Arabidopsis thaliana: one gene and its partners. The protein of the gene in region 1 purifies or fractionates together with the protein of each later gene. This does not show direct contact. Each region holds a gene or a part of one and is shown in the gene's direction. Other genes may lie near its edges.

Region 1 (8,444 bases):
CTTCAATGACCGTTCACAATAATGCAATAATTTTTTTAGCATATTAGCTTGAAACTGTTCATATTTATTTCTTTTTTCTGATGCTATTTTTCAATCTTGTGTAAGGATGTTCAACATCAATTTCTCTGATAACATAAGTGCTGCATGGTCTTTCTGGTTTCAGATTATTTCTCGCAGGAGGGATTTCCGAACCTATTTGTTCACATGCTTGTGCTTCTGCTCTGCGTAAAATTTGTGAGGATGCTCCTGCTGTAATCCAGGAAACATCGAATTTAGATATCTTAATGTGGATAGGAGAGGTATCAGCTTAATCAGACCCTTTTTTTAACTGTCAAAGCAAACTTCAAATTACGCTGAAATTATATCCTGAATCATTATATTTATATATATTTTTTACTTTTCTTAGTGTTTGGAGCAGTGGGATTTGACCTTGGAAGATGAAGAAGAAGTCATTACCGCTATCACTGTGATCCTTGGCTCTGTTGCTAATAAAGAGCTACAAAATAAATTATTAACTCAATTGCTTTCGTCAAGTTATGGAGTTCTTTCGAAACTTGTAAGTGTTTATATTGTTCAGTTAGAAAGAGTTATTCTTCAAGGTTCTCCTTCTCATTCTTTTTCTTGTACAAGTAGCTCTTTGCTTTTGCTCTGCATTAATGAAAAAATAATCAGCTAATTGTCCACATACTTCTCTGAGGCCAGTATTCATCAATATCTCAGCTAGTAACTAGAAAAATAAATAGATAGTACAGAAATGATACCTGGAAGATGATCTTTTTCTTTCTGGGATTATTTTCTAATGTTTCCGTGCCTTGATGCACTTCTGAGATAGATTTGGACTAATACCTTTGTGGTTTTAGGTAGATGAAGACGCTGAGTCTTCTGGTAGACAAAGTCCAGCCACTTATACACGAATGCTGAGCTCTGTTACAAGAGGTCTTTACAGGTCTGCTTCTGTGACTGATCTATTTTCTATCCTGCTTAATTGCGATGTAATCTAGGAGCTTTTTGGTGAACTTTTTGCTGCGTCCGGACTTCAAGACATCTATAAATAACATTGTCATAATTTTGTGTTATATATATTTTTCTGGTAACCGGGCGCAAAATAGATTTAATGACTCTGATCAATCCATGGTCTTTAGTAGCTTGCACTCTCTGGTAGTTTTCTTTTGAGGTGTACTCAAATTTGGGAAGAATATCATATTGATGACTTTGCTCTTCACTCGTTTCATGAATCAGGATAGGAACTGTATTCAGTCACCTTGCAACGTCTCTGCCATCTGTTCCTGTGGCAGATGGTCCAATCCTTTCTTTGTTGACTGTTTTCTGGCCCATTTTGGAGAAGCTATTTAGGTCTGAACACATGGAGAGTGGTAGTTTAGCTGCAGCAGCATGCCGTGCTCTTTCAGTGGCAGTTCAGTCGTCAGGTTTCAAACTTCTCATCTCCCTATTTTATTCCGCTACATTCGACTCGTTGTGCCTTTATTAGCCTGGAACATTTCTTTATTCCAAAGCGTCCTTTACACCTGTGAAAATTTCTTGTTTTCGCACAGTAGGCAGGTTTCACTAACATGTGAAAATTTGCATTATTCACAGGTGAGCACTTTATGCTGTTACTACCTAGTGTACTGGATTGTCTATCGAGAAACTTTCTGTCATTCCAAAGCCAAGAATGTTACATAAGAACAGGTGAGGGTTTCTTAATTCAGGTACAGGCTCCACTTTTGGAGAAAAATCTTTTGAGATGCTAGCGTTGATTCATTTGTCACAGTTTTTATTGGCGAGCTTGGATAAATTATTTCCCAAACTTAGTTTATTGACCAGCCAGTTGTCTGAACTTCACCTTTTCACGAACTTGTTATCACAGCCTGTGTAATCGCCGAAGAATTTTGTCATAAGGAGGAATATGGGTCCTTATTTATCACTACGTTTGAAAGATTTACTCAAGCATCATCACTGATGGGCATAAATTCTTCATATATATGCGACCAAGAACCCGATTTGGTGGAAGCGTATGTGAATTTCGCATCAGCACTTATCCGTAGTTGTCATAAGGTTTGCAACCACTCTTTGCTTGTTAAAGTATAACTTTCAGTTCATAATTTCTTAAGGAGTCTTGGGGTGAATTTATATTGATCAAACAGGAGTTGTTGGGTACTTCTGGAACACTTCTTGAAATTTCTTTCCACAAAGCGGCTATATGTTGTACAGCTATGCACAGAGGCGCTGCTTTAGCTGCAATGTCATACTTATCAGGTAAGGTTGCAGTGGTTTACAAACGAAAACAGCATTAATTTTTGGTTATAAGCATACTTAACACAATGTTTTCGAACTTTATAGGTTTCTTGGAGGTTTCACTTTCTTCCATGATCGAAACCGTGAATAGCATATCAGATGGATCATTCAGCGTGGTCTCTGTCCAGGTCGTATCTCACTGTGGAGAGGGACTTTTGTCTAATCTGGTCTATGCTCTACTTGGAGTTGCAGCTATGTCAAGGGTAAGATTTTTGAGTAAGATCTCTCAAAAAGTAGTTGATGGATTATGATATTTGATTCTGTTTTTGTTTTAGGTCCATAAGTGTTCAACGATACTGCAACAATTAGCTGCAATCTGCAGTTTATGTGAGAGGACTTCATGGAAAGGAATGTTGTGTTGGAAATCTCTCCAAGGATGGCTAAACTCAGCGGTTTCTCTCTTTCTCTTGTGATCACATCAACACCAAACTCCGCCTCTGTGTTGTTTATTCTAATGGCTTTTTTTTGTTTGTTTGTATTCAGGTTTGGGCACTTCCGAGCGAGTATCTAAAGCAAGGAGAAGCAGAAAGCATAGTGAGGGAATGGTCAGAAGCTCTAGGAGGTGCAGGGATCGATTATCTTGAGAACAAAAGCTGCAATTTTGGAAGCAATAACAGTTCAGGAGGACATATGCAAGGGAAACACGGTCGAACATTGAAGCGATTAGTGAGAGATTTTGCGGATTCTCATCGAAACGATCCAAATCCAAACATCATATGAATAAATCAATCGATAAACTTTTTTTTTTTGTAATGTTTATTTTATTTTGTTGCCTTAATAATGAGGGCAATGATCCATCATCTTCTTCATTTCTGTCGATGCTCTGTTTCTAATGTACAGTAGGAGAGGAAAAGAAACCTCATGAAGAATCTTGAGCCATTTCTTTTAGATTCATCTGATGAGAAGGATAATAATATACATCCCATTGTTAACATTTAACTCTCATTTATTTATTTTGAATCTATGAGGCAAACCAATAAACGGCACGCAGTTTGAAGGCGTCTTGGTAATGTAGACTACAGCCAGTTCCACTTTTCACGTAATTGGGCCTTTTGAGTTAAGATAAAGCCCATTAGCTCGCTTTCCATGTGGTTTGCCACGTGAGTATCACGTGATTGGGTTGGGAGTTAGAATTTGGGGAAAACCCTAGGCCAGTCAATTCTGGGAGGAGAGAGGCCGCCGGAGGAGAGAGAAAAAGAGGTACGAGCTTACGTTTTGCTTGCTCGATTTCAATCTCTCTGCATAATGGATTCAATCTGTTCATCGTAATCGTTTATTCAAAAGTTTCGATCTTTACTTCACTTGAAACCAAAATTCGTAGTGTTGTGTCCGAAATTCACGCTGTTCAAAGTACTCATTTTTGAAACTTGATTTTGTTCTTCTTGTGTAGTTGGGGGATTGCTTTTTGATTTCTCCTTCTCCATCTTCGACCTCGAGAGAAGCTAAAAATGGCAGAAGAAGCGGATACGAACATCGAGATCTGGAAGATTAAGAAACTAATCAAGGGACTTGAATCAGCTAGAGGTAATGGAACGAGTATGATCTCTCTTATTATGCCTCCTCGTGATCAAGTATCTCGTGTCACAAAGATGCTTGGTGATGAATATGGAACTGCTTCAAACATTAAGAGTCGAGTCAATCGTCAATCTGTTTTGTCTGCCATTACTTCTGCTCAACAAAGGTTGAAGCTTTACAACAAGGTTCCTACTAATGGTCTTGTTCTCTATACCGGCACCATTGTTAATGATGACGGTAAAGAGAAGAAGGTGACGTTTGATTTCGAGCCCTTTAGGCCGATTAATGCTTCCTTGTACCTTTGTGACAACAAGTTCCATACTGAGGCATTGAACGAGCTTCTTGAGTCTGATGACAAGTTTGGTTTCATTGTTATGGATGGTAATGGGACACTGTTTGGAACTTTGAGTGGGAATACTAGAGAGGTTCTTCATAAGTTTACTGTTGATCTCCCGAAGAAGCACGGAAGAGGAGGACAGTCTGCACTTCGTTTTGCCCGTCTTAGGATGGAGAAGAGACACAATTATGTTAGGAAAACCGCTGAGCTTGCTACACAGTTTTACATCAATCCAGCTACGAGTCAGCCTAATGTCTCTGGTCTGATCCTTGCTGGTTCAGCTGATTTCAAAACTGAGCTCAGTCAATCAGAGTTGTTTGATCCTCGTCTTCAAGCTAAGATATTGAATGTTGTTGATGTTTCTTACGGAGGTGAAAACGGTTTCAACCAAGCGATTGAGCTGTCTGCTGAGATTCTATCCAATGTGAAGTTCATACAGGAGAAGAAACTGATTGGGAAGTACTTTGAGGAGATAAGTCAAGATACCGGGAAATACGTTTTCGGTGTGGAGGATACTCTAAAGGCTCTAGAAATGGGTGCTATCGAAACCCTTATCGTGTGGGAGAATCTGGACATAAACAGGTATGAGCTAAAGAACAGTACGACAGGAGAAATGGTGGTGAAACACTTTGGGAAAGATCAAGAGTCTGATACAAGCAACTTCCATGATTCAGAGACTAACGCGGAGCTAGAAGTACAGGAGAAGATGCCTCTACTCGAATGGTTTGCAAATGAGTACAAACGTTTCGGCTGCACTCTTGAGTTTGTGACTAACAAATCCCAAGAAGGGTCACAGTTTTGCAGAGGTTTTGGTGGGATTGGTGGTATGTTACGTTACCAGCTTGACATGAGGACATTTGATGAGTTATCAGATACTGAAGTTTACGAAGATTCTGATTAAAGTGGGAAAACTTTTGGTGATGGTTTCAGATCGATACAGTGAGGGAAAATGTGGCATAAAGATGGTCTTTTATCAACAAAGAAGAGAGATTTAAGTTTCTTGTTTTCTATAGAACATTAAAAAGCTTGACTCTTTCTTTCTGTTAGACAATTTGTGTTGTAATTTTTGAGGATTTTAAACATCTTTTTGTTGTTCTTCTGGTTTTATATTTTCCGAGAAAATCATTGGTGAAGAAGAGACGGAGATAACGATGTTAGCCATGTTACTCTGTTTTCCTTAAACGGTGTCGTTTTCGTCAATTATTAAAATAAACTGGATGACTGGAATATCCATTTGCTTTTGAGCGAGTGATAGAAGCGGAGGCGATTTTCTAGGGTTTTTGCTCGGAATCGATTTCACGATGGGAACGAGCAGCGATCCGATTCAAGATGGTTCCGATGAGCAGCAGAAGCGATCAGAGATCTATACATACGAAGCGCCATGGCACATCTACGCAATGAATTGGAGCGTTCGTCGCGATAAGAAGTATCGTCTCGCCATCACTAGCCTCCTCGAGCAATACCCGAACCGTGTCGAGATTGTGCAGCTCGATGAATCCAATGGTGAGATCCGTTCCGATCCTAACCTCTCCTTTGAGCATCCTTATCCACCAACGAAGACCATTTTCATACCTGACAAGGAATGCCAAAGACCTGATCTTCTCGCTACTTCAAGTGATTTCCTTCGTTTATGGAGAATCGCTGATGATCATTCCCGTGTTGAGCTCAAATCTTGTCTCAATAGCAATAAGAACAGTGAGTTTTGTGGTCCTCTTACTTCTTTTGATTGGAATGAAGCTGAGCCACGTCGAATTGGAACATCTAGTACTGATACGACTTGTACTATCTGGGACATTGAGCGTGAAGCTGTTGATACTCAGCTTATTGCTCATGATAAGGAAGTTTTTGATATTGCTTGGGGTGGTGTTGGTGTTTTTGCATCTGTTTCAGCTGATGGCTCCGTTAGGGTGTTTGATCTTCGTGATAAGGAACATTCGACGATTATCTATGAGAGCTCCGAGCCTGATACTCCTTTAGTGCGTCTTGGTTGGAACAAACAGGATCCTAGGTACATGGCTACTATTATCATGGACAGTGCTAAAGTTGTGGTGCTTGACATTCGTTTTCCGGCTCTTCCTGTGGTTGAGCTTCAACGACATCAAGCTAGTGTCAATGCCATTGCTTGGGCTCCTCATAGCTCTTGTCACATTTGTACTGCTGGAGATGATTCTCAAGCTTTGATTTGGGATATTTCATCCATGGGACAGCATGTTGAAGGTGGTCTTGACCCTATTCTAGCTTACACTGCTGGTGCTGAGATTGAGCAGCTTCAGTGGTCCTCTTCTCAGCCTGATTGGGTCGCAATTGCTTTCTCTACTAAGCTGCAAATTCTCAGGGTTTGATCTTTTCAAAGAATTTCTCATCTCTTGTCAGATTAGATTTTACTCATTTTCTATCGTATTAGGGGTCTCGTTACCCTTGTTACTATCCTCAAGATGTAAAGACTGTTCTCAATCGAATTAATGAATCTGTTTGATCTTGTTGCTATACTCAAGATGCAAAGCTTAGCACTGACTCTTATTGATGTATGATTGATAAGAAAGGATAATCCTTTGATCTAGATTTTTGCTTCATTGCTTTTTCTCTCGTAGCACAATCTTTGCAGTATGATCCATGGGAAGTGTGTACCTCAATTGTGGATGATTAGGTTTAGTTTTGTATTTGATTAGAGCTATGGACTGCTAGAGTTAGTTACACCTCTCAGTACCTATTGTATTTCTTGGAATAGCTTTCTATAAAGTCAATGCGCAAAACAAAAAGGTACAGAGACATAATGACACATCTTTCTTTGAGATTACAAAGACAAAATGTGTAATCTTTTAAATGGCTAAGAAGGAGCAAGAAGGGTCACACTTCTTAATGTGTCAGTGATTTTCATCTGCAGCATAGAGATGTCAGAAAAGCTATGTCGTCGAGTCACTAGATCAAATGTGACCACATGATGGAGAAGCCCATCCACTTGTGAAGCCCAAGTGAGAAAATCAAAAATATGTGTGAATCATAGAAAACGTGAAGAGGGAAGAGAGATAAAACCACAACCATACAAATGAATGACAAAGCTATCCAGAATCTCATCTTCTTTGCCTCCAACTCAGCAATTCATATTTTCCTATATTACAACTCTCTGCCTCTTCTGCTTACATCATACAACAAGCTTCTCTCTCTGGTAGCCATGGCTTCGGCTACTTTCTCTGTGGCCAAACCATCTCTTCAGGTTTTGTTTCATCTTCCTAACCACATTATCTGATTGCCCTTCACACAAGTTTTATCATCATCTCATAAATACTCTCATGTTTTACTTTTTCAGGGTTTTTCTGAGTTCTCAGGACTTCGAAACTCCTCTGCTCTTCCCTTTGCCAAGAGATCTTCTTCCGATGAGTTTGTTTCCTTCGTCAGTTTCCAAACTTCTGCAGTGAGTTCCTTTTTCACCCACTCCTCTCTATTGCTCCTGTGTTATATATCTTATGGTGCAATCTTGTAAACTCAAGAGCTGTTTCTTGTGTCTAATGCCACCATTGTAGATCTATCCATGATGAACAAGGCTGCATGGCATGATCAGCCATGATTAACCATATACGTTTTTTTTTTCTGTCTCTGTGTTGTAGATGAGAAGCAATGGTGGATACAGGAAAGGGGTGACCGAGGCCAAGATAAAGGTAGCCATCAATGGGTTCGGTAGGATTGGTAGGAACTTCTTGAGGTGTTGGCATGGTCGTAAGGACTCTCCTCTTGATGTCGTTGTCATTAACGACACTGGTGGTGTTAAACAAGCATCACATCTCCTCAAATACGACTCAACTCTTGGAATCTTTGACGCTGATGTCAAACCTTCAGGAGACTCAGCTCTCTCTGTTGATGGAAAGATCATCAAGATTGTATCTGATCGTAACCCATCTAATCTCCCCTGGGGGTAAGTTAAAACAACACTTCTCATATCATTTGAATTGAATCAACCCAGTTAGATCTAAACCTGGTGATGATGTTTAGGGAACTAGGCATTGACTTAGTTATCGAAGGAACCGGAGTGTTTGTTGACAGAGACGGTGCTGGGAAGCACCTTCAGGCTGGAGCCAAGAAGGTTCTTATCACTGCACCTGGAAAAGGTGACATCCCAACTTATGTCGTTGGTGTCAATGCTGAACTTTACAGCCATGAAGATACGATCATCAGCAATGCGTCTTGTACTACTAACTGTCTCGCTCCATTCGTCAAGGTTCTTGACCAGAAATTTGGTAAGCGTCTCATTGAAAGTCAAATGTTGCTATGTTGCAATCTTGTAAAAATCTGAGTAATATTG
Region 2 (7,936 bases), on another chromosome or scaffold:
AAACTACTTGGTATTAAGCATCTAAATAAAAATTAATTGTTGTTTTTTTTGGGGGAATTTTCCATTGACTAATAGTCACTTATTTTAATTTTTGTTTGAAATTTGTACTAAAAACAACCGTAAAAACTAATATTATTAGATGACAATCTTAAACTATAATGAAAATCTTATAATTTAAATATGTGGCCAGTTCATAAATACAAGATCCAAATCAATTACCAAGGAGATAATCAGCAAGATTTGCATAACAAATCGTTCAAACATATAAGCTCACGATAAAACAATCAACATAGATCGCTACTGGAACATCTACAGAAATTATTCTCTCTCTCTGAACCATCTAGAAAATAGCAATAAAAAGAACAATGAGCTCCAACGGCTATTTAAGCTCCGTCAACACCAACGGCAAACCCTCTTCCCGATCCAGAGTCTTTCACTTCTTCTTTCTCTTCCTCAAAGCCTATGTTTCTTTTAGTGAGTCTATTTTCTGTTGACTCTAGCTGACGTGGAGTTGACTTTTTCTTGACATACGATTGATGAATCGTATCACACACCTAATGGTAGTGAACCAACACAAGATATGTAATCAGGAGAGGACTCTCGAAGATTCCCAAGGTGAAGAAACGAAAGAGGATACCATCTCAAGCTCAAACTCAAACTGCAAAGTGGCTTTGTCAGAAGATATTCAGAGATTAGGATTAGGGTTTGGTAGTGTCTTTGACGAATTTGGTTGCGTAATATTACGTGGATACAACTCAAATCTATGTAATTCACCTTTTTTGCATTCTTGGTGATTGATCGATTATTGTAGTATCTTAACTTGTATGTGTTGCTCCATGTTTGTAAAGTTGGTAGCTTTTATTCTCTCTGTTTATTACTAGAACTAGATATAGACCCGCGGTACACCGCGAGTTGATTATTTGCGTTAGAAATTAAATTATTTTTTCAATTCAATATCATCTACATTTAGATAATCAAGTTATATTTTGAATTTATCATCTTACTTTTTATATAGATTTACTTTTGATGTTATATTAGTATTTGTTTGGTTTGATTCTGTTTAGTTAAGAAAACCTGTTTATTATACGCATCATTATATAGAATGTGTATTTTATGGTGCATTATGATGTGTTTGTTATATAGTTTTTTGTTAAAAATAAAAGTATTAAAATTGTTTAAATTTAATTTTATATGTAATTGTAGTTATCTTTAAGAAAATAATGTTTTTCTGTATGAAATAGATGTATATTATGCTTGGAAATTTATAAAATTCAAATTCTTATTGTAACACAAATACAAAAATTCAATCACTTAAAATTCAATCATGTAAGAAACCAAGATAATCCACAACTACAGCAAAAGGCTCATTCTTGTTTCAGAAACGTGCTAATGAGAATTGAACAAGTCTTCACTAACAACTTCAAAGATAATAATCACTCCGTCACAGTGTCATCACTTACCCATCTCTGCAATTTGACGACTTTCTTAATCTTTTATGATACTGCTATTGCTTGTTTAACAAGTATTTTTTTTATAATCTTGATAACTTTTTTTCATTTAACTTACATTAGCGAGTTCCCTATGAAATTACAGACAAAGATGTTTCAAATGCCTACTTTTGCTTGCAATATCCTTTAAGCTCTTTTAAGAATATCTTGACCTGAAACCTTCTGTAAGAGGAATGACTTTTGCGGATACTTTCGATTGCAACTTAAGCACAGCTTCACGGATTTCCTGCCATTGCAACCACAAGTATTAAGATGAAATACAACATAAGGGGCTAAAACTTTTACTAAGAACATGAAAGCCAAATTCAGACTCTCACCTCTACATGGTAACGTGATGAGAAATGCGTCAATAATACAGTTTTGCTCCGGATCCACTTTGCATTCTCAATAATCTGCAATTTGTTCATGGAAAATTCCTCTTACAGTGTGCTTTTTACAGGTGTGTTTGAACATAAATAGGATCGTACCTGAGATATATGAGTATGACCGAGTGCTTGCGCATGCTCAGTGCTAAAACTTTCATCCAAGAAAGTTGCCTGCCAGATCGGTTAAGCTCAGAAACTATAACATAATCCAGTGAAGTTTTAAAATGATATAACAGTACCGCCAATAGGATTCAAGTAAGTACCTCAGTTATAAGAACTTTTGCCCTCAACGCATCAGCATTACGAGGGTCAAGCATATACTCTGAAGTTGTATCTCCAGTGAAGGCTATCTCGGGGGATAATATCGTGTCCGTAATCTGTAATTAAGTTCAATATTATTGTACTTTATCAAACCTCAATATCAGAAATATGGCTTATTATAAGCAACAAACCTCGACGCCAGACTTTTTAATCTTTTCTATCTGTTTTCCTTTGAGGTGAGCATACTGCTTCTGCAACTTCTTCCTGACCGAATAGATGACATAACCCTAAAAGAACTCAAGATCAGTAAAAAAAAAAGACGCTCTCATGCCACATTCACGATGTGTAGTACCTGACTTGGTATAACATGGTGAGTTGCAAATGGTCTAACAACAATGTCATTGCGCAACTCATATGTTTCACCTGCCACCACCAACAAAGAACTCAGATTCGCTATCTAAACAAGGTTGGCTTTTAACAAGTCACTATGTCATTACCTACAGCAAGTGGTATCAATTCTACATTCAACTCTACTTGACCCATAGTCCTGTGAATCTCAAGAAGTTTCTCAACATCTTCTTTAATAGATGGTGGCACAAATATTTTCGGTGGCTCAAGATTGTATAAACCACGGCTCGCTACATACATTGGAAGCCCTCCCTGAAGAAAACACTAAACTTAGCCACAAGATTCATACAAAAGATCCCATAACTCAATCAATAAGCAGAAACATCAAACCAAATCTAAAAGTATGTTCAACAAAACTAATCCTTATCCTTCCAAATCATAGTACAATGGCTCTATTTTGAACTAAAATGTATCATCAATTCAACACTAAGATTCATCCACAATTCAATCAAAAGGCCGAAACTTTAAACGAAATCTAAAGAGGGTTTTGAAGAAAGACTCAAATTTTGAACAACTCACGATATGGTCAAGATGGGCATGAGTGATAAAAAGAAACTTCTGCTGAATAGCACGAGAAGGGCACCTCCCAATATCAAAGACACATTTGAGCTCAGGGACGATAACACAAGTCTCGTGCCCACCTACAGAGATCCCTTCAATTGCATAACTCTCCAATTCGACACCTTTACGGTTCACTGCAGCGCGTGCTTTCCGATACTCTTCTTCTTCCTCAATAGCTCGGCTAATCGATGAGAAATAGCCAGAGACTTTGACGGGACTCACGAAATGTCTACGGTTGCTCTGTATCTGTGCGGCGAGCTGGTGAGTAATCACTGGAGGTTTATGGTGTTTGGTGGAAGGGAAGATTTTGGGAGGTGAAATTGGAAACGAAGAAGAAAGCTGCATTCTTTTGTGAGGTTTTACGGAGGTTTTTGGGGTTTCCTCTGTCACTCAGACATGAAACGATAGAAAATGCAAAGAACGGCCTTTTTCTTGGGATTGAGTGAGACCAAATTAAACTGATCTACTACATATGTATAGCTCCGGTTTAATGCTGGTTAGGATTGTTTTTCGGTTAATTTGGTTTAGTATAGATTGTAATTTGTATATATGTATCCAACATTTGTAACAAAATTTATAGAGGTATTCAACTATTCATCATACAATAAAATTTTATTAATTTATAAAAGTACTATTAATTTATAGAGAGTTTAAACTAATTTTGTAATTTTTAAAAGATTTTTTCTAAAAAAGATTTTTTTTATTTGTAATTATTATCTTTTTAGAACCAATTACAAAATAATTAAAATTTATTATGTATAGACAACAACAAAAAGAGTTTTGAATGTAGTAAAAATATTAAAAATGAAAAAGGAATATAGCAAAGGTTATGTTTCACTAAAATTTCTTATATATATATATTTTAAGGAATTTATAAAATTATTAATTTATGATATTGATGAGAGCATATTATATTAATTTTATACAATGATTTTTTTAATAAAAATTATTTTATTAATTTATCGATTTGTATTAATTTTTACTATAGTTACAACTCAAAATCGGAAGAATTTGTTAATTTATAAAAACTATTAGTTTATCGAATATTAATTTATAGAAATTTTACTGTAATATTATAATTTTTAGAGGTTTAACTGTTTTTTTTCTTTTTTTTAAGAAAGGTTTTACGGTCTTAGATCCAAAATTGATATAATACTCAAACCGAACTAACGATTTTTCAATCCAACCAAATAGAAAATCGAAAAACTAAACCAAACCAAATGTCAGATACTCAGATTGAATGAGTGGTAAGGTTCCGTAATAAAACCTAAAACTAAGGGCAACAATCAAAACACGTTTACTTTTATTATAAACAGATTTCTGGAGATATCGAGAACATTTTCGCAGCCGCAAGCTACAAAACTTTTGATCCCAAATTCAACAGATATCTCTGAATCTATCGCTTCCAAGGGTTTTCTCTAGCTTAATCTCAGATTCGAATCGTTCCATAGTGGTGAGCTTCGTGTTCTTCTTTCGTCTCTTACTCCTGATTCTCGATTTTAGGGTTTTCAGTAATTGCGTCGGCGGCGAAAGTCTTTATCGCCGATCGATCTTCCTTATCTAGAAATTATTGATCAGAAACTGTTGGGTTTTGTTTGATTCTTGTCAAGTTTTGATTTTTCATGCGAAATTGCTCAATCCCAATTCAAAGTTACGATTTTTATTGAAAACCCTAGATTGGTTTCTTCAAGTTTGTCACTTTGATTCAATCTAATAGCTTAGCTTAATCGTTAAGTCTCTTTTTTGGTTTTAGGTTTCATTTGCGATTTAAAGGTTCTTGTTTTGGTATTTGTTTTGCTTTGGTCCTTTAAGTTTGAGAGGCTTATGTAGATTATAAGAGAGAAGAGTATTGCTTTGCATGTTTAAAGGAAGAACTTTTAACTGAACATTTGTATGATTGGTATGTAGATACTATGCCGAAGAACAAGGGAAAGGGAGGAAAGAACAGGAAGAGAGGAAAGAACGAAGCAGATGACGAGAAGAGAGAGCTTATATTCAAAGAAGATGGACAAGAATACGCACAAGTCCTTCGTATGCTTGGAAATGGAAGATGTGAAGCTATGTGTATCGATGGAACCAAGCGTCTTTGCCATATCCGTGGTAAGATGCATAAGAAGGTTTGGATTGCAGCAGGTGATATTGTGCTTGTTGGTTTGAGGGATTACCAAGATGACAAAGCGGATGTGATCCTTAAGTACATGTCTGATGAGGCTAGGCTTCTTAAGGCTTATGGTGAGCTTCCAGAGAATACTCGTCTTAATGAAGGAATTGTTGGTGATCTTGAGGATGATGATGATAATAATGATGATGACTATGTTGAGTTTGAGGACGAAGATATCGATAGGATCTAAGGCTTTGTTTGTTTTTTTTTTTTCCGGCTTGTATTTCCAATTTGTGAGACGTATGACTTCTGGTGATAAAACATCACTGTTGTTGCAAGATACTTACTGTTTTATATTTTGTTCTTCAATATCTCTATTGTTGGTTTCCTTGGTGTTCTTGTTGCATAAGTTTGTCTTTCTTCGCAATCCATTCAAAATGTTGTGTGTCACTGTTGCTTCACACTCTTAAGTTTAGCTGGTACAGAGAAGATGAATCGAAATGATTATGCGAATGCTGAAGCTGAAAGTGAATTCAGTTCAGCTTAAGAGAGTAAAACATAGTAAGCTGATAATGCTTGATATAGAAAGCATTATGTTGCATGGATTCATATGGATGACATACATAAAAGTGGGCACCAAAAATACAGAATCTACTTGTCCAAAGAGAGAAAATTATATACTTCTCCTGCCGAATATGAATACTAAAGACAGTTTAACTTGTTAACAAAACTCAAAAAAGTTATATACTTCTCTTGCCGTATCGAATCTCTGCCTTCATCTTCCTGATGAAATCCTCACATTTCTTGTTCAAATCTTCTGAACTTAATAAACTATCATTTATCGCATCGTCATCATCATGATCATCTAGTCTAGTGATTGAGAGGTCTTGTACTAGTATTCCCTCATCTTCCTTAACAACCAATGCAACTTCTTCTTCTTCTTCTCTAGATAAAACAACTCTTCCTTCTTCTTCTTTAGAAACATTACTTTCTTCAAGTAATGCCACTACTTTATTGACTTTTGTTTCTTTTAAGTCTTTGATCCCTACTTCTTTGGTTTGTTCAACGATGTTAATGGCTTTACCGTGCGAAAGGGAGTCAGAATTCCCATGGAAACTCCCCAAGATAAAGCCCACAATCCCATTGCATAACAAGAACATGTACTTCTTGTCCACAAGATTGCTATACATGGCAAGCAAATGGAGTCTTTGTTGAAGAGAAGAGATTAAGGAAGAGTAAGATAGTATAAATGAGAAAATGGATGCAAATGCTATGATCTTAGTGACTATTTTCATCTCCTTCACGCTTCTTTCTTGTTTTTGAGATTCCATCTCATCTATCTCTATCTCTCTCTTTATATCTCTCTTGCTCTATGTGTCTTGCCTTTGAATTGAGAAAAAGAATGGTGAATGCGCAACAAGTTTGCGGAACCTATTTCTTTTTTATAGATTAGTGGGTGGGTTGTGTATAATTTCACCATTTTAATTATTATTTCTTTTGGTTAAATTACTCTTTTGAACCATTCACACCAAATTAATCTTTAGTTTTTTTTTGTTTGATTATTTTTAATATATCCCTAACTTAGCTTAAAAAATTACCAAATAGTTGTCGATAATATAAGAGATATTTTTTGAATACAGTAAAACCTCTATAAATTAATAATGTTGGGATTGTGAAATTTTATTAATTTAGAGAGGTATTAATTTATCAATAAATTAATAAAAATTACCAAATAGTTGTCGATAATATAAGAGATATTTTTTGAATACAGTAAAACCTCTATAAATTAATAATGTTGGGACTGTGAAATTTTATTAATTTAGAGAGGTATTAATTTATCAATAAATCAATAAATATTAATTTATAAAGAGATTTTCCTAATTTAATAATTTTTAAAAAAAATTATAATTTTTTTATTATAGAAATTATGTTTCTAAAACCAGTTACAAGTAAAACATATTAATAATTTCTAGAAAACAACACCAAAAATTTTGATAGAGTAAAATATGTAAATTATAGTAAAACAAAGGGTAAATATGAATTTAAGCAAAAAATTATTATAAATATATTTTTAAGAATTTTATTACATATAATATATATATATAGTTGATACATTTATATAATTATTAATTTATGATATTGATGAGACCATATATTTACATAGAACTTTCAAAAAAATTATTATCTTATTAATTTATCGATTTGTGTCACATTTTACACTGGTCCCAACTCGGAACCTGAAGAATTTATTAATTTATAGAGGTTATTAATTTATAGAGTATTAATTTATAGAGGTTCTACTGTACTAATTGAAAAACAAGTATTATTATACTTTATGTGTATAAATGTCTTAAAATTATACTTTTAGAAATCAATAGTGTTTTTTTTAATACCAAAAGGTTATGGGTCGAAGTCCGTAAACCTCCATGCCAAAAACCACAACATGTAATATTAGTTTCGTTCCAACCGTCACTCGAACCGGTGACCTCTATGTTTCGTCTATAGTCTTTATCAATTAAGCTAATGTCACTTGGTCACAACTCAAACAATAGTGTCTTTATTGTCAACTGAAACAAATGTTTATCAAAAATATCAGTTTTGTTTTCTGAAAAGATAGCAAATGTTTAACAACAATCGGTCGCAACTCAATGCTACTACCTTCCACGAAAATTCTTGAGTTCGTGGATTTTTGTTTTTGTCGTAAGCTTCTTTTGTCTGCCTTTGAAAATGTC
Region 3 (7,467 bases), on another chromosome or scaffold:
TATAAGTACAACTCGAATACAATTAGTAAAGAGAGACAAAGTCGAAAGAAAGCTTTCATGCTTCTACTTTCTGAGCTTTGTTCCAGCGACTATCCGGCAATCTGACCCTCTCTTCCGCCAGAATATTCCACTCTTCTTCCTCCCCTGCATAGACCATGATGATCGAGTATATAATTATATAAAGCAGAAAAAACTTTAATTGAAAACAAATCCTAACAATTTAAGAAAAAAAATATCCTAAAGATGAACTCACCTTCCTCCATGACCACCCTTGTTAAACTGATCATTGCCTTTAAGGATGAAACTTTTTTTATATATTATTAATTTTTTTTATAATGACATCCTAATGATATTTGTTACACTTTCAATGTTACAACTTATGTTTGTATATACTCCCCCAAATAATAGTATTGGATACAGTTTTTAAACATAATAATCATAGTTTTTAATGTGTGTTTGAATCCATAATTTTTCTATATCCATTGATATATTCAAATACATCATCATCAAAACCCTAATATTTTACACTCGTTATAATAAATAACAATTGACCGTTCATGATATGGTCAAATCCAACAAAATTTATGATAAAATGGAAATAAATAGAATTATTGGCTAGCATGAGCAACACAATTAATAAGTAAATGGATTAAAAACAATATAATATGTGACTACATTTACAAATTTAGATAGGAAAATGGTAATATATGATTGTTAAAGTAAAATATTCTATTCATACATCTCTCTTTTCAAATTTAGATAACGAATGAGCCCTAATTTAAAATGGTCTAGATGTCTTTAATCACTTTGACATTGAGAACTACAAGAACATGTTCATATTGTCTACAGCAAAATTCATACATTATATAACAATATGAATAGACTTTAAGGGACAATCAAGCAATGAAGTGTAATACTATATATACATCATATGTAACAATAATAGTTTCGGATATGGGACACACAAGGAAATGAAAGGAGTGGAAGGATTCTCTAGTTAATTTAATTGTCGTTTAGTTGTAAATCGGTATATTATTTGTCTAGACTGATTAGCGGATAAAACACCCACTTCCTAACAAATTTTACTTTATTTTTATATTCATCAATACAAATAAATATCTTATAATTTTTTACACATTAATAGTTGTGTTAATGTATGTTCGAATCAGTCATACCAAAAATAAATATATGTTTGAATCCATATTTTTTTATATATGTATTAACATATTTCAAATACATCTTCAACTGTTTTTCTCGGTTATCAAAAATAACATATGTAGTCAAATAATTAAATGTGAACATAAGTTTCGTTTAATGTGTGTTTAAATACTTACAATGTTCTATTTATTAATCATATATTTAATGTGTGTTTAAATACATAATTGGTCTGTATGCATTTACCAAAAAAAATAAAACTTATAAGTTTTAACACAAAAATCATAAATTTAATTTAAAGTAATTACATGTAAAAATAATATGTGTTAAATATGTTTTTAAAAGGGAACGTATATTTTTATGTTTAATATGTATTTAAATCATAACTTACATGTTTTTTTTAACATAATAACCATAGCTTTTAATGTTTACTTGTATCCATAATTTTTATATATGCATTGATATATTTCAAATGCATCATCATCAAAACTCTATCTTAGTCTTTTTATAATAAATAACAATTGACCATTCATGATATTGTCAAATCCAATAAAATTTATGGTGAAATGATCAAATGAAAAGAAATAAAATTATAGGGTTATTTTCAAAATGGGCACATTTTTTAAAAAAATCTTTGATATTGGGCACTTCCCGATCAAAATGGGCACATTTTAAAAAAAATCTTTGATATTGGGCACTTCCCGAGTGTACTTCGAAAAATGGAACTTTGATCCCTTGCAATTGACGCTTTTGCCCCTAGCAAAGTGATGAGACATTGACGTTTTCCTTAGCCGTCTTTGTAACTCTGACGACTTTTTTTCTCCGAATTTCTTCATCTCCATCTTCCTTCATGATTCCTTTTTTATTTTTCATTTTTCTACAAGATTAAATCGTTTTTAATCAGAGAAAAGTAAACCCTAAGATAGTATAGAAGGAACCCAAGTAAAATGTTTTACAAATTTTGTGACTGATTTGTTCTATTTTTGTGATATTGAAAAGAAGAAGAAGATGAAGCTTTGAAGGAGAAAGAGCCTCTGCTCGCCGGTATCGAGTTGTTGTTAGCTTCCGTCGCTTTCTCTGTTCCATTCAGCTTTGGTCACCGCATATCTAGGTTCGTCGACATTGCTCATGACTTGTGAATTTATTCTTTAGCTTCGATATGATAATTGAAGAGTAGAACGGTATATTTTTAAAGAAAAAATGCCGATTTTCGTAAGTACATACGAAAGTACATATGACTACATTTATAATCACAACAAAATAGTAATATATGACCTTTCAAGTAATATATTCTACTTATCCATCTTTTTCTCAAATAAAGATTACGAATGACCTCCGGTTCAAAATGGTCTAAAGCTCAACAATCACTTTGTAATTTAGAACCAAAAGAATAAGCTCATAATTTCTAAATCAAAAGCCATACTCCTCGACTCCTCAATTAAATAGATATCTAATTCACTAGCATTATTAGCAACTTGAAGGAATCTTAAAAAGCAAATTCATTTTACCATCAAAATCGATTTCTCTAGTAATCGCAATGAATAATTAAACCATGAGAATTAAACTGTAGAATATTGGAAAATAAAAACTAATCAATCAATTTTGACGAATGAATTTTTTTTTCCAAAGACAAGGTTGGATGTCGCAAGCCTCTTTCGTATAGGGTTCTTTTCTTGGTTGCCCTTTTCAATAGAATATAACTAATTTCTAGATTTTATATATTACAGATTATGATTATTCAATATGCAAACATATAAATAGGTGAGAAAGATATAATGGAAGATGTCTTGGTTTGTTATTATGCAATATATGTGGTCAAATTGATATTGGAAAGTAATGAAGATAAGCTCAAAATGAATATAAAGATAGAGAAAGTAGAAACATGATTATGTGAAATCGATCAATGTTTTTGAGCATCAATTCCCCATTTCAGTCAAGACAAAACAAAAGATAGTCGGATTAATAAATCCATGATTTTACAAGTTCTCATACTATAATTAAATCCTTTAGAGATAAAAAAATATATCTACATGCATGTATTATTTGGCAGTAGAAAGAGAGATTATGTTCTGATCAAAATCTCTTGTACAATATATGTGATGAAAGGAAAAACTTTATAGAAGATGTGATAATTGTAACTACAACATTTCATCTATTTATTTAATTTATGTCTTCGTGCACAAATATTTAAATGTGTATTGTAAAAACAAAATCTAAGGCAAGACAATCTATTTTAATAAATTTGACAATATTAAAATGATGTAATAGTAACGTAGGATAAAGTAATTTTATGTTTATATTTATTTGTATTGATGAAAAAGAAAATAAAGGAAATGAAATGTGTCTCTTAAATTATAGTTTTAAAATAATAATGATATAGATAATTAAGTATATTAAAACTAAATAATGGTATTAAGATAAAACGAGAGAAATCACATGTCACAAAGAGATGTCATATGTTCACAAAGACACAAACTTTCTAATTAAAAAAAAAAAAACTCAAAGTCTTATTAAGAAAAGAGAGCTGCTAATTTATGTAGAAATCTTTCTCCTTTCCATACTAAAGTCCAAGCTTTACTCTGGGCAATGAAGTGTATGGTTGATGCAAACAACCAATAAGTAGTTTTTTTAACAGACTGTTCAGATTTGGTGAAGATAGTATATTTCCCAACTAAATGATCAGCATTTTCAACATATTTAAAGGAGTTTCAGAGCGACAAGGAAGAGTTCACTTCTTTTTCTTTATCTTTAATTTTTCGTAATGTAAATGTCAAGGCGGATAATAAGTTTGTGCTGAATCGTTTCATATCACTTATATAAACAAGTTTCGTCAAGATTGGCTCGTTTGAACCGTAAATAATATATGTTGACAAAAAAATAAAATAAAAAATGGCATGACTCCGTAATAAAACCTAATTTCGAGGGTGTTTTACAAATAGCTACACTATTTAAATAAAAAGACGTCTCTTGCGACATCGATAAAAAAAAGTAGAACAAGCAACACAACGCAGCTAAGAAACCTCCTTAAAGAACAAAGAAAAAACTTGGTGAAATCGATTCTCTTCAAAGATCGTCTTCCTAATCACTTTCAACAACTCGATCAATCCTTACTGGTAATCTCTTCCTTCCCTTTGTTTCTCAATTAGGGTTTCCTTTACACCGCCTTAATTTTTCAATTCAAACTCCAAATTAGGGTTTCCACTGAATTGAAATTACCCAATTATGTTTCGATCTAATTGTTTCTCGTTACCGGAATTGTTTTGATCTGAATTTTGATTCTCGAATTTGCCATTTTTTGTCTGAAATTGAAAAAAAAAACGAATCAATTCTTCAACCTTTTGTAACCTTTACGCCATTATATGATCAGATTCTGATTCTGTATCGAATTTGATACAGAGACGATGCCGAAGAACAAAGGAAAGGGAGGAAAGAACAGGAAGAGAGGAAAGAACGAAGCTGATGACGAAAAGCGAGAGCTTATATTCAAAGAAGATGGACAAGAATACGCACAAGTTCTTCGTATGCTCGGTAACGGTCGATGCGACGTTATGTGCATTGACGGTGTTAAGCGTCTTTGCCATATCCGTGGTAAGATGCATAAGAAGGTTTGGATTGCTGCTGGTGACATCATACTTGTTGGTCTAAGAGATTACCAGGATGATAAAGCTGATGTTATACTCAAGTATATGTCTGATGAGGCTAGGCTTCTTAAGGCGTATGGTGAGCTTCCGGAGAATACTCGTCTTAACGAAGGTATTGTTGGTGATCTTGATGATGATGATGATGTTGTTGGTGAAGATTACATTGAGTTTGAGGATGAGGATATTGATAGGATCTAAGTTTGTTTTTGTTGTTGGCTCTCTGTTCCAGCTTGTATTATCAAATTTGAGATACATATCTTCTTAGATACAGAAGATTGTGATACTATCATTGTTATGTATTTCTGGGGTTTCCAGTTTCTTATCCCTTACTATTACTGGTTTGATTTGAATCCCTAAATAATTTACAGAAAGTTGTTATCTGATTCGAAAGAACAAACTTTTGTGATTTAAATGCAAAGATTTACAGGTAATGCTTATCTTAGGTGCTGCTATTTAGCTTATGTGAGGTTTCTTCGCATTCGTTTCCTGTTTTGCAGCTTGTGGGTGTGGTTTTGGCCTTCTTTGCTTTCTTTGTTTGTTGTTGCAGATCACTTTTGGTGGCCTGAAGCTGCAAACGTAAAACGAGACAGGTAAGTATGTTTGAGATAGATGGGACTCAGAAACTTCTATGCATTGTGGGGTTTTTTCTTTACCTTGTGATGCTTTCTCTGGCTTTTGTAGCTTGGAACAGATTTACGCTTAGATATACTTGGTTTAAAACTACTTTTTTCGGTCTGCAAAACTGTAGTTGCATCTCCTTGTGTCTCTGATATGCTTTCAAAATGGAGAGGTAGGTCGTTGGAAGCACAGCTCTCCAACTCGCCAGCTGTACCAAAAGCTCTATTCTTTCTTATCAAGCTTTGATTTTTCGTTGCAACATCTGTTCTTGGTTCAATTGGAATGCTGTCTGGTACACGGGTTGCCATCCAGCGTTCTAACCAACTCCAACCGATATTGGAATCATCTTCACTGCTACGATCTATTTGTTTCTTCTTTGAGCAAATTCTTAGCTTTAAACAAATGTTTCACTAGTTTAGAAAAGATAAGTTCTTTGGATCTTTTAGGATTCAATCTGTGATCAAGTGTTTTGAAATCGTTTACCTGCTGTGAAAATGCATACGCAAGTGCTCTCTCCCGTTTTGTCATTGCTTCGACTCTGCTTTGAATCCTTGATTTTGATATGGTGCTGCTCACTGTACTATCATCCCAGTCTTCCTGTTACGTGAGCATGTTATGGTTATTTTTCACTATTTCTTTGAATTCCTCTATACTGGACGAGATCTTTACTTACCTTTATCCTCAGAACTTGAGTGTTGTTCTTCTGTAGTGTTCTTCGATTCGCAGATACTCGCTTTCTCCTGAAAAATGGTGCTTTCACGGAATTACCTGTCTGAGCTTCTAGTGATGTCCCCATGGATGCATTGTCTTGAGATTCCTCTCCTGAGAAGCTCTCCTCCTTAGCAAATGTTTCCTCTTCTTCTTTGCTCCGGCGTATTGCCTGAAGAAATCCTAACAATCAATGTTGTGGACATACCAGAAGAAGACAAAAAACATATTGAAGGGAAAGACTAACCAGGTAACTCCTGAATGCTGACTGAATTATGACTGCAGCGTCTTCTTCGAGGAACAACTTGGAGATTGGAGTAGTCTGATGCTTCTTGGGTATGTGTGTCTCTGTTGCTTCGCTTTGGTTATCTTCAACATCTTCTTCTTTTAGATAACAATCCAGTCCTTTCGATTTCTCCTCCAGTAAAGGTTGAGTCACTGTTGCCTCAGAGCTCTTAACGGAACCAGAGTCCTCATCCTCCAAATGTCTCACAGAAGCTGAATCTTCGATTGCGATAACCGAACCAAAAGGCATACCGAACTCTGAACTCAGTTGCTGAGACATTGTAAGAAGAGCCTCAGAATCCTTTATCGATTCTGAATCATTCACAGCGCGAACAGAGTTAAATTCATCTCCGCAAAGGTATGATCTAACCGAGCTCCATCGTTTCTTCTCTCCTAGATTGCCTCTTCCCTGAAAACATTACAACATTTGAAGTAGTAGATAAAACAAAAACCAGAACGATGATGGGTTTTTGATGAAAATGACAACCACATACATTGTTGTAGTCATGAGCTCCAAATGATTTGTTCCTGAAGAAAATGCTTCTGACTAATCCTCCTGTAACACCCATTGTTTCTCTCTATGTTTCAGAACAATTTGGATAAAGAACTTGGGAATTGAGAAATGGGAACAAACACACATGTGATGAGATTGATTACTCTATATAAAAGCTATGAAAGAAGAAAAAAGAAAAAGAAAGGTGCATTATTTTAGAATCACAAGCACATGAGTCATGTACAAGAGTACATGTAAAAAGAGATTCAAAGGACATTGTATTAGAGAGAAAAAGAAGAAAAGCTGAAACATAGCGTATAGTGCAATTAGTGATGATTGTGATCCAGAAGAAAAGCATCTCTGTAAATGAGAGAAATATATTTATATAATGATTTTTGAGTGAAGTCGTGAGTGTTTGTGGTCTCGACTTTGGATTACTTTAAAGAGTAATAGAGAGATGCTTTGGTATGCACATGGAGATCATTGGATTGGTTCTTTTCTTATGCAAACGGCAATTTCACTCTATTCACTTTCCTAATGGCTTTGCTTTTTTTCTTTTTATTTCAT

The links.
Region 2: the proteins of ERF1-2 (region 1) and AT2G04520 fractionate together in Arabidopsis thaliana (co-fractionation; one large-scale study listed by BioGRID). This does not show direct contact.
Region 3: the proteins of ERF1-2 (region 1) and AT5G35680 fractionate together in Arabidopsis thaliana (co-fractionation; one large-scale study listed by BioGRID). This does not show direct contact.

The regions. Positions count from the first base shown.
Region 1 is NC_003070.9:4,393,159-4,401,602, reverse strand, and holds ERF1-2 (eukaryotic release factor 1-2), read left to right. Parts: upstream 1-3,409; 5' UTR 3,410-3,495; intron 3,496-3,685; 5' UTR 3,686-3,743; coding exon 3,744-5,048; 3' UTR 5,049-5,255; downstream 5,256-8,444. Other genes in the region: AT1G12930 (ARM repeat superfamily protein), read left to right, coding at 164-299, 407-556, 861-946, 1,240-1,427, 1,597-1,689, 1,868-2,055, 2,145-2,256, 2,341-2,498 and 2 more; ATAN11 (Transducin/WD40 repeat-like superfamily protein), read left to right, coding at 5,449-6,489; GAPA-2 (glyceraldehyde 3-phosphate dehydrogenase A subunit 2), read left to right, coding at 7,194-7,361, 7,455-7,559, 7,753-8,057, 8,135-8,379. UniProt on the Arabidopsis thaliana protein: Directs the termination of nascent peptide synthesis (translation) in response to the termination codons UAA, UAG and UGA. Modulates plant growth and development.
Region 2 is NC_003071.7:1,572,320-1,580,255, reverse strand, and holds AT2G04520 (Nucleic acid-binding, OB-fold-like protein), read left to right. Parts: upstream 1-4,295; 5' UTR 4,296-4,556; intron 4,557-5,011; 5' UTR 5,012-5,016; coding exon 5,017-5,454; 3' UTR 5,455-5,694; downstream 5,695-7,936. Other genes in the region: CPZ (Metallo-hydrolase/oxidoreductase superfamily protein), read right to left, coding at 1,645-1,734, 1,826-1,900, 1,976-2,044, 2,137-2,250, 2,326-2,421, 2,487-2,557, 2,632-2,794, 3,062-3,448; AT2G04515 (uncharacterized protein), read right to left, coding at 5,945-6,535.
Region 3 is NC_003076.8:13,855,679-13,863,145, reverse strand, and holds AT5G35680 (Nucleic acid-binding, OB-fold-like protein), read left to right. Parts: upstream 1-4,132; 5' UTR 4,133-4,268; intron 4,269-4,522; exon of another isoform or gene 4,523-4,551; 5' UTR 4,552-4,556; coding exon 4,557-4,943; coding exon of another isoform or gene 4,944-4,994; exon of another isoform or gene 4,995-4,995; coding exon 4,996-5,061; 3' UTR 5,062-5,225; downstream 5,226-7,467. Other genes in the region: iqd33 (IQ-domain 33), read right to left, coding at 5,236-5,364, 5,450-5,806, 5,898-6,011, 6,088-6,294, 6,370-6,816, 6,902-6,976.